Linked DNA regions of Oryctolagus cuniculus. Each later gene encodes a partner of the first gene's protein in a complex. Links are inferred from orthologs where the notes say so. Each region holds a gene or a part of one and is shown on either strand. Other genes may lie near its edges.

What was found. Proteins that work in one complex are often made in the same cells at the same time.
Region 2: the proteins of LATS2 (region 1) and NF2 are in contact, whole or in part, in a crystal structure (PDB 4ZRI), measured with the Homo sapiens proteins. The link is inferred for Oryctolagus cuniculus from reciprocal best matches to the Homo sapiens genes LATS2 and NF2. Residues at the interface, in NP_055387.2 of Homo sapiens: Tyr73, Ala76, Leu77, Glu79, Ile80, Arg81, Ser83, Leu84, Leu85, Phe87, Ala88, Asn89; in NP_000259.1 of Homo sapiens: Pro135, Glu136, Ala137, Val139, Leu140, Tyr144, Asn175, Leu176, Tyr177, Gln178, Met179, Trp184, Arg187, Trp191, Glu206, Lys209, Ile210.

Annotation. Positions count from the first base shown.
Region 1 is NC_091440.1:91,958,862-91,963,082, forward strand, and holds the start of LATS2 (serine/threonine-protein kinase LATS2), read right to left. Parts: upstream 2,831-4,221; 5' UTR 2,624-2,830; coding exon 2,303-2,623; intron 1-2,302. UniProt on the Homo sapiens protein: Negative regulator of YAP1 in the Hippo signaling pathway that plays a pivotal role in organ size control and tumor suppression by restricting proliferation and promoting apoptosis.
Region 2 is NC_091452.1:23,034,913-23,038,557, reverse strand, and holds part of NF2 (merlin), read right to left. Parts: intron 3,437-3,645; coding exon 3,271-3,436; intron 1,934-3,270; coding exon of another isoform or gene 1,898-1,933; exon of another isoform or gene 1,875-1,897; intron 640-1,874; exon of another isoform or gene 622-639; intron 1-621. UniProt on the Homo sapiens protein: Probable regulator of the Hippo/SWH (Sav/Wts/Hpo) signaling pathway, a signaling pathway that plays a pivotal role in tumor suppression by restricting proliferation and promoting apoptosis.

The sequences.
Region 1 (4,221 bases):
CGGGACAGAATCTGGCGCCCCCGACTGGGACTAGAACCCGGTGTGCTGGCACCACAGGCGGAGGAGACCCATACCTGTTTTAAATGTAAGTTTTACTTTAAGGAAATATCTGAAGAGAAAGATGTTTACAAACACTCAAATCAAATAGACATTTAATAAGTCTTGGTCTGAATCAAATGAAATAAATGCACGTGTGTATACATGCAATCAATAAAACTGCATAAAATGCATGTATCTAAGACCCTGTACGAACAGGGCATTTACGGCCATTCTGATGAAAACCGGCGTTAAAGATAGCACCGAAGCTCAAAGTACAGGAGAACAAAACTGCAACTCAGTTAAAAGGCAACACAATAGGAGACAAAGGGGAAAGATGCTAGGCTAGGATTCTCTTCCCCCAGTATCCTGGCACCTAATAACCTGCTTTATCCAGACATGTGCAGCTCTAGCGGCACAGCTGATCTCTGCTCTCTCTCACAATGACTTTCCTGTGGGAAATTTCTGAAAGCAAATGCACCTTTTATCCAGGGCAGAAGCAGCCAGAGTTGGAGGGAAGGAAGGAGGCGCAGCTGTTGTAGGCGACAAAGCAGCACTCCACACAAAAGACAGAGTCACTTCCGAAGCATAACTGTGGTACATGGAGCTCTCTGTGCTGCCAAGTAACACACGTGAAATGTTGACGGGGCTCAGCAAGGCTTCATTATTTCATGGGCGGTAATTATCGCTGATGGATTTGACCCTACTAAGATGCCACCAACATCACCGTGGACTATTTGCTCAACTTGTTCCTCTTCCTCACGGCTGAAACACAAACGCCAAGGGCATGGGGCTCAATGGCCTCTTTGGTCAGCAAGTAATTTATAGAAGATTTAAAGCTTTGCCATTGGCCTGAACGTCCGGGGTCTCCCAGGCCTGCTCCTTCCCTACTCTTAACACCTGTCCTGCCAGGAGGTGGCACGTGGTCTCGCAGCCAGCACTGTCTGCAGCCTGTGCCTGAGAAAAGCAACTCCAACTAACAACACTCGCAAGTGAATCCTGGCACAGCTCACAGGGCCAAAGAAGCCCCCTGCAAAAGAGCAAGGATGCGTTTCACAAACACATCAATCCCCAGTGAGATGCTATGATGAGAAACTACAATAGGAGGCCTGGGCTTTGTTTTGGAAATAAGAGATGACAGTGCCAGCCTTTTCCCAGGACTGCGATGCCAGCTTCCTTCTGAGGAACTGAATGTGCTCACCCCATCCTGAAGAGCTCTGAGCACAGACTCTTGCTGATTTTCTAAGACAACAGAAAAACTTGGCTTACTTCCCTTTCATACAACTGTGAGTTCTGAGATGAGAGATGGAACTGGCTTTCCTAAGTCATTTCATAACACAATTACATTTTAGCTCCACTTTAGAGAGCCTAGTCCCTTAATCTGGATTCTTTTCAGCTATGTGAATTGCTAAGGGGTACAAATGTAGAGTTATAAATTGTGTATTTATACATTATTGGTGCCACTTCCCCTAATGTACCCCTTTATTCCTAAGCAACAGGGAAATCAGACCATATTTCCATGGCTCCTTCGGCTTTTTCTTTCTCATCTCATGAATGTAATTACATCTCCTGTAACAACATACACAATTTTTTTGAAAACAAGAGAAAACAGGGGCCAGCACTGTGGTGCAGCGGGTTAACGCCCTGGCCAGAAGCGCCAGTATCCCACATGGGCGCCAGTTCAAGACCCATCTGCTCCATGAATGATCTGGCTCTCTGCTGTGGCCTGGGAAAGCAGTGGAACATGGCCCAAGTCATTGGGCCCCTGCACCCATGTGGGAGACCCGGAGGAAGCTCCTGGCTCCTGGCTTCGGATCGGCACAGTTCCGGCCATTGCGGCCAGTTGCGGAATGAACCATCTGATGGAAGTCCTCTCTCTCTCTCTGTGTAACTTTTTCAAATAAATAAATAAATCTTAAAAAAAAAAAAAAAAGAGAGAGAGAGAGAAAAACAGCGTCAGAGAATTGCCAATGCATGTCAATCAAACCTCCCCTTAACTACATAAAAAATACACAAGCCAAAGACAAGACAAAGCCTGCCTCAGAACAACCCCAAATAAATCCCAAAGAAAGGGTGAAGTGTGAAAGCCCTTCTCATCTGCACAAGAATAGAATGGGGGAGGGAGACTTCAGGAGAGCCCAGAAACTTCTGGATCTTGCCTGAAAAGGAAAGGCAGCTAGAAAAGATGTTTTAGGCAGAAGGAACGGAGCAGTTCAAGGGCACACGCACAAACCCCCGGATGAGCAGTCACCAGCTCTGCACCCACCTGGTCACACCCTGCATTCACCAGCTCCTGCAGCATCTGCCGGTTAACTTCCGCCACTGTGGAGGTGCCGGATTCGTTAGCAAAAGGCAACAAGGAGTATCTGATTTCCCGCAGAGCTTTCTGATAAGGTCCAAACTTCGGGGTGGCTCTCTGCTGCTGCCTGGCGGCATCCTTGCTCCCCAGGGAAGCATCACTGTTTGGTCCCACGGGCAACCCCTGAGTGGAAGGCTTGGGCGGCTGCTTCAGCCCCTCGCGGATCTCCTGCAGTCGCTGTCGGCTATTTCCAGAATAAGTCGTGGCAGGAAAAGTCTTTGGCCTCATTGTTAGTCCAGTTTCCTTTTACCATAAATATAATCTTCTTAAAGTGTTTTATTATTTAAAAATAAAACAATAAAAAGCCGTCAATAGCATCAGTCAGTTGTAAACATATTTTCAAGACAACTTCCTTTTGAAAATTTGCTTTCCTTCAACTTTGTAGTTCCTAGAGAGAACCTAAATGTCCCAGAGTCTCCATGGCGAAGTCTCACTCTCTGAAAAACAGAACGGATGGGAGAAACATGTTCATTTGTGGTTTTCACATCATGGCAACGCTATGTTTCACAAAATGAACCCTGATCTTGGAAACACTCCACTTAGAAAAATAAGAAAGAAGCAACTGCACGCCAGATATGACAAAAATGCTGTTCATTTCTGGTTCGAGCACACATGACATCCAGGGCTGTCCCACGGTGTCTCCTGTGATTTGGAGTCTGTGAATAGTAAGCCTCCATCAAGGGCAAGAACAGCAGTATTAACAACTGACAGGTCATTGAAAACAATTCATTATGATATGACCTCATTTTGAAATCCACGGCTTGAGTGGTTCGGCTTAAATGTTCTACAAGGGATCCTGGCTCTCCAGCTTGTTCCTAATCACCAATTCACTGGTCCCTGCCTTAGTCCTTCATCCAGTGCCTCTACTAACCTCTCCACCCATGTAAGGCTGTGGCCCTTATAAAACCCTCCCAGTCTCCCTGAAAGGTGCCACAGAACTTGTCACACTGAAGGTGCTCTCTATTGCAATCAAAAGCACTTTCCACACGACACATTAGGAGACTGTGAAGGTAACACTTCCATGATTTTTTACAAGGTGGCCACTTGCCAGCATTTTGATGTAAACAGTAAAATAAAAATATCTTTCCTGTAGAAACTGAAACAAATGTGGGAAGCCTGTGAGTGATGTCTCTGTCAGAGTCACTGTGACCACATTAACACAAATGACTCTGCCACTCAAAAACTGGGTTGTTAATCCTTGAGGTGTTGGTCTGCAAGTGGCTGGGGCTTCTGGGGTCATGGTGATGACACAGCTCTTGATCTGGCTGCCATTTACAAGTGCCTTTTGTGGGGCCAGCACTGTGGCATACTGTGTAAAGCTGCCGCCTGCAGTGCCAGCATCCCATATGGGTGCCGGTTCGAGCCCTGGCTGCTTCACTTCCGATCCAGCTCTCTGCTGTGGCCTGGGAAAGCAGTAGAAGATGGCCCAAGTCCTTGGGCCCCTGCACCCATGTGGGAGACCTGGAGGAAGTTCCTGGCTCCTGGCTTCAGATCAGCTCAACTCCGGCTGTTGTGGCCAACTGGGGAGTGAACCAGCGAATGGAAGACCTCTCTTTCTCTGCCCCTCCTTCTCTCTCTGTGTAGCTCTTTCAAATAAATAAATTTTTTTAAAAAGTGCCTTTTTGTGAGCATTTTTAGTCTTATAATTTGTGTACTTTTAAACAATATGTGTTAAAACTTGGGGGGAAATGGGCCGGCGCTGTGGTTCACTTGGTTAATCCTCCGCCTGCAGCGCCGGCATCCCACACGGGAGCCAGGTTCTAGTCCCAGCTGCTCCTCTTCCAGTCCAGCTCTCTGCTGTGGCCTGGGAGGGCAGTGGAGGATGG
Region 2 (3,645 bases), on another chromosome or scaffold:
ATAAGCTTCTCACCAGGGTGGGCGTAAACGTGGCCGCACAGCCCATGACACCTCCCTCCTCCCTGGCCACGGGCTGGCCAGCAGCTTGGTTTCGGCCCTCCCTAAGCAACCTGCGACCCCTATTCAGTCCTCACAACAGTCCTGGGGGCAAGGACCATTTTGCAGGTGAAGACACTGGGCCTCAGGAGAGGCTAAGAACTGTGAACTAAGTGACACAGCAGTGGTGACCCTGGCTAACCAGGCCGGACCTGCTCTCGGCATTTCAGAAGGTGGCAGTGACCTTGGTACACCCCTTGAATTAGCTTTCGTGTTATCCACTGCCCAAGTCTAGAAAATGGAACTTGCCTCAAACCTCTTGTGCAGCAAAAAACAGCCGCTATTTAATCTAGTGATGCTGAGAGAACCGCAGTCACATTAAAAGCTAAATCCATGCTTTCATTAACCCTTGATTAACCAGGGTTCTTGATTGATTGGAGCCCAGCAGCCTGCTTTGAGAACAGGTTCACATCAAGACACGAAAATGCATGAATGAGCGAATGCGCCCGTTTACGTCCTAGGAGTAGGAAAAATCTAAGTGAAAATGAAGCGTCCTGTGTCTGTAAGAGCTCAGTGAGAACCGACGGGAGAGCCAGGGCTGTGCTGTAACAGGAAGAAGAAATCGCATTCAGGTGGACAGCGGAGTCGAGGGAAGGGCTGAAACAAAGTGCAGCTTTCTGCCTGGCCCTGCGTTAGCCAAGTGTTCAGCGCTCCAAGGTGGGTCCACCCTGGGGTGTTCTGGGTGTCTCAGGGCTACTGCAGGAGCAGATCCACCCGGCCTCCCCTTCTAAGGCCGCTCATCACGGCCCTGCTCAGAGCCGGGGAACCAACACCAAGGTGGGATTTGGAAGCTGAAGAAACGGGAGCCCACTCAACAGAACGATCACACCAGAGGCAGGGTTCACACCATGGTCCTCGGAACCACTCACAGTGTGAGCCCACCTTGTGGGACCCCACTGCTAACCTCTCTGACTGGCATAACCACCACAAATGGGATTTCTTTCACGTCGGATCTCTTCAGTAGAAAGCTTCCAATGAGCTTGTCCTACCCCCCAAAACCTGAGGTGAGGACTCCCACGGGCGTAGCCCACGTTGCTGTCCGATGGCACTGGGCTTCCTGACATGGCACTGCTGCGGATTATTAGGTGAGAAGCAGGGGGAGGAGGTCACGTTATAACTGGGCAAAAACAGTTCTCTCCACGGCCTAGGGCATATGGGGAGAGGGAGGAGCTGCTGTGGGGAGAAAGTAGGCACCACTCAATTAACTTCCTGCACAGCCACTGCCTGCCCCTCTCCCAGTGTCTGCGACTGCACTGCTCCGGGGGAGTGCCCTGTGGCCACCTCTCGCTCCCTCCTGTGGCAGCACTGTGCTCGGACAGACCCCCGTGCTCGGAAAGGCCTATGTGCACAAACGAGCGTCCATTCTGTGACCAGAGGCTGCCAGGTGTGACCACGGGGTGGCAGAGCTCATCACCACAGGAGAGGCCATGATCTTGAGTGAAAGACCCCATTCTCATGCTAGGGTTATCTGTCTAAGGAATAGGCCACCAAGACACAGGACTTTAAGACAGACCTGACTGGACAAGAAGCCATGACCTTCCCCAGCCCAACAATGTCACCAGATGGACAGGACAACCTACAGCCCCGGGACATGCTCTTCAGAACGAGGCAGCCCTCCGGGGCCCTGGACACCTGCTCTCAGACTCAAAGCATGCTGCGGCCAGTACCCAGGCACACCTGCCCTCAGGAGGGCTTGGCGTGGCCCGGGGACAAAGACAGGCAAGCTCATGCATGGGTTAGTATCACAGAGGGCAGGACCATCACCACACACAGAGTACCTGCAACAGCCTACTTTGAGGGCTCAAATGCAGATAGGTCTTCTGCCTTGGGCTTGAGGCTAAACCAGCAAAATAAAATGAAGAAAAACAAAAACACACCCTGTGATATCGACAATGCCACATTTGCAAAATGCTCAGACAGGCCTGAAATGGTGACCCGTGACTTCGCTGGTTTGCTTTTCTGGCTTGGAGAGGAGTCTCTCTGGGCTCAAGACGACACTCTTCCTGGTGTCCACATGAGCGGGGGCGAGGGGGAGCGGGCAGGGGATGGGGCCCGAGGCAGCCCCTGCCCAAGGCTGACCAGCTTCCTGGCCCACTCATTGTTTTCCCTCTTTGCTTAGTGGCTGGGCTTCCCTTTAGTTCCCCACTTGCTGTTTCGTAACTTCATTTTGGAAGGGAAACCCAGGAAATTAGAGAAGCCAGAAGACAGAGGAATGTGGCATGTGGAAATGCCTTTCCTCCTAGGTTATTCTATTAAAGGAGTTCTCTATCCAGTGCCAATTGTAACTGGAGTCAAGAGACGGAAGGCAGGGCTTCCGTTGTACCCATCTCTCAGAGTTTTTAGATACAGCTTTACCACTACAATCAGATGGAAACCGTTTTAAACATTAACAGAAAGAGTAAAAAATTAACTCTATCAATCATTATTTAAACTCAAGAAACAGCCTCATCTTAATGACACCAATTTTATAGGTGTTACTGTGATCCTGGGCTATCTGTTACCATCAGAGCACCAACTGGCAAGAGATGACTTTTCTGCTTTGCCCGAATAAACCAAGTATACTCTTGAGCTGATAATTAGCATGGAATTTAACTTCTGAGTGTCTAAGATGCCTAAAGCTCAATATACCACTGGAAAAAGATAGGAAATTGTTAGCAACGTAAATGAAGTCTCATTTTTTAAAACACTGCTTCTCCTAGACACTTCCTTTTATGTTTGAAAGAAGTTAAAAATTCAGAATTTGCTTCCTAAATCAAGAACAGAATTTTATAGCCTTTGCCACTTAAAAACACAAAAAGTCTAGCGGGGAGTCTGTTCTCAGCAGCCTCCATTTCATTTTGCTTTCTCATTAAGCAAGGAAGCTCCCTGGGCATAACTCCCTTTGGCTTAAAAGACAGAACCACTTTACTGCTAAGTGATGGATCAAAACCCGTCCTCTAACGGGCATTCATTTCATCAGAGCTTTTAACACAAGCTTCACTTCCATCAAGTCAATGGGTTCATGGTCACTGGCAGATTAAATTCCCTTTCTGGCAGGAGTCGAAAAATTTCCTTAACTAAGGACATATGAAAAATGACAACAGCCTAATGACTCGGCTACTGAGGGACCAGATGCCAACCTCACATTTCATTAATGATTGCCCTGATCAGCAGAAGCCGAGAGACTGCGGGTACCTTCTTGATGGTATTGTGCTTGCTGCTGGTGCCGCCCCGGTCAGAGTTCTCGTTGTGCAGGATGTCCAAAGCCGTCTCCCTCTCTTTGAGCTTCAGGGCCTCGATCTCGGTCTTGAGTTCATTGAGCTGCTCCTGCAGATGCTTGCTCTTTTCCAAGTATTCCACTCTGTGGCAGGAGACATTGTGTTATCATTGCTTGGGCCAACAGTGAGACGGGGCTGAGCTGCTGCTTGGGGTAGGATCCAGGGGTTCACCTCTCTACTTGGCCACTCAAGGGCTGTGGGAGCCAGGCTGGGTGCTTCACTGTGAGGAGTCTATTTCCTCATTGGTCAATTGAGATAACGGTCCTGGGGCTGTGGTCAAGACTTAGAGAAT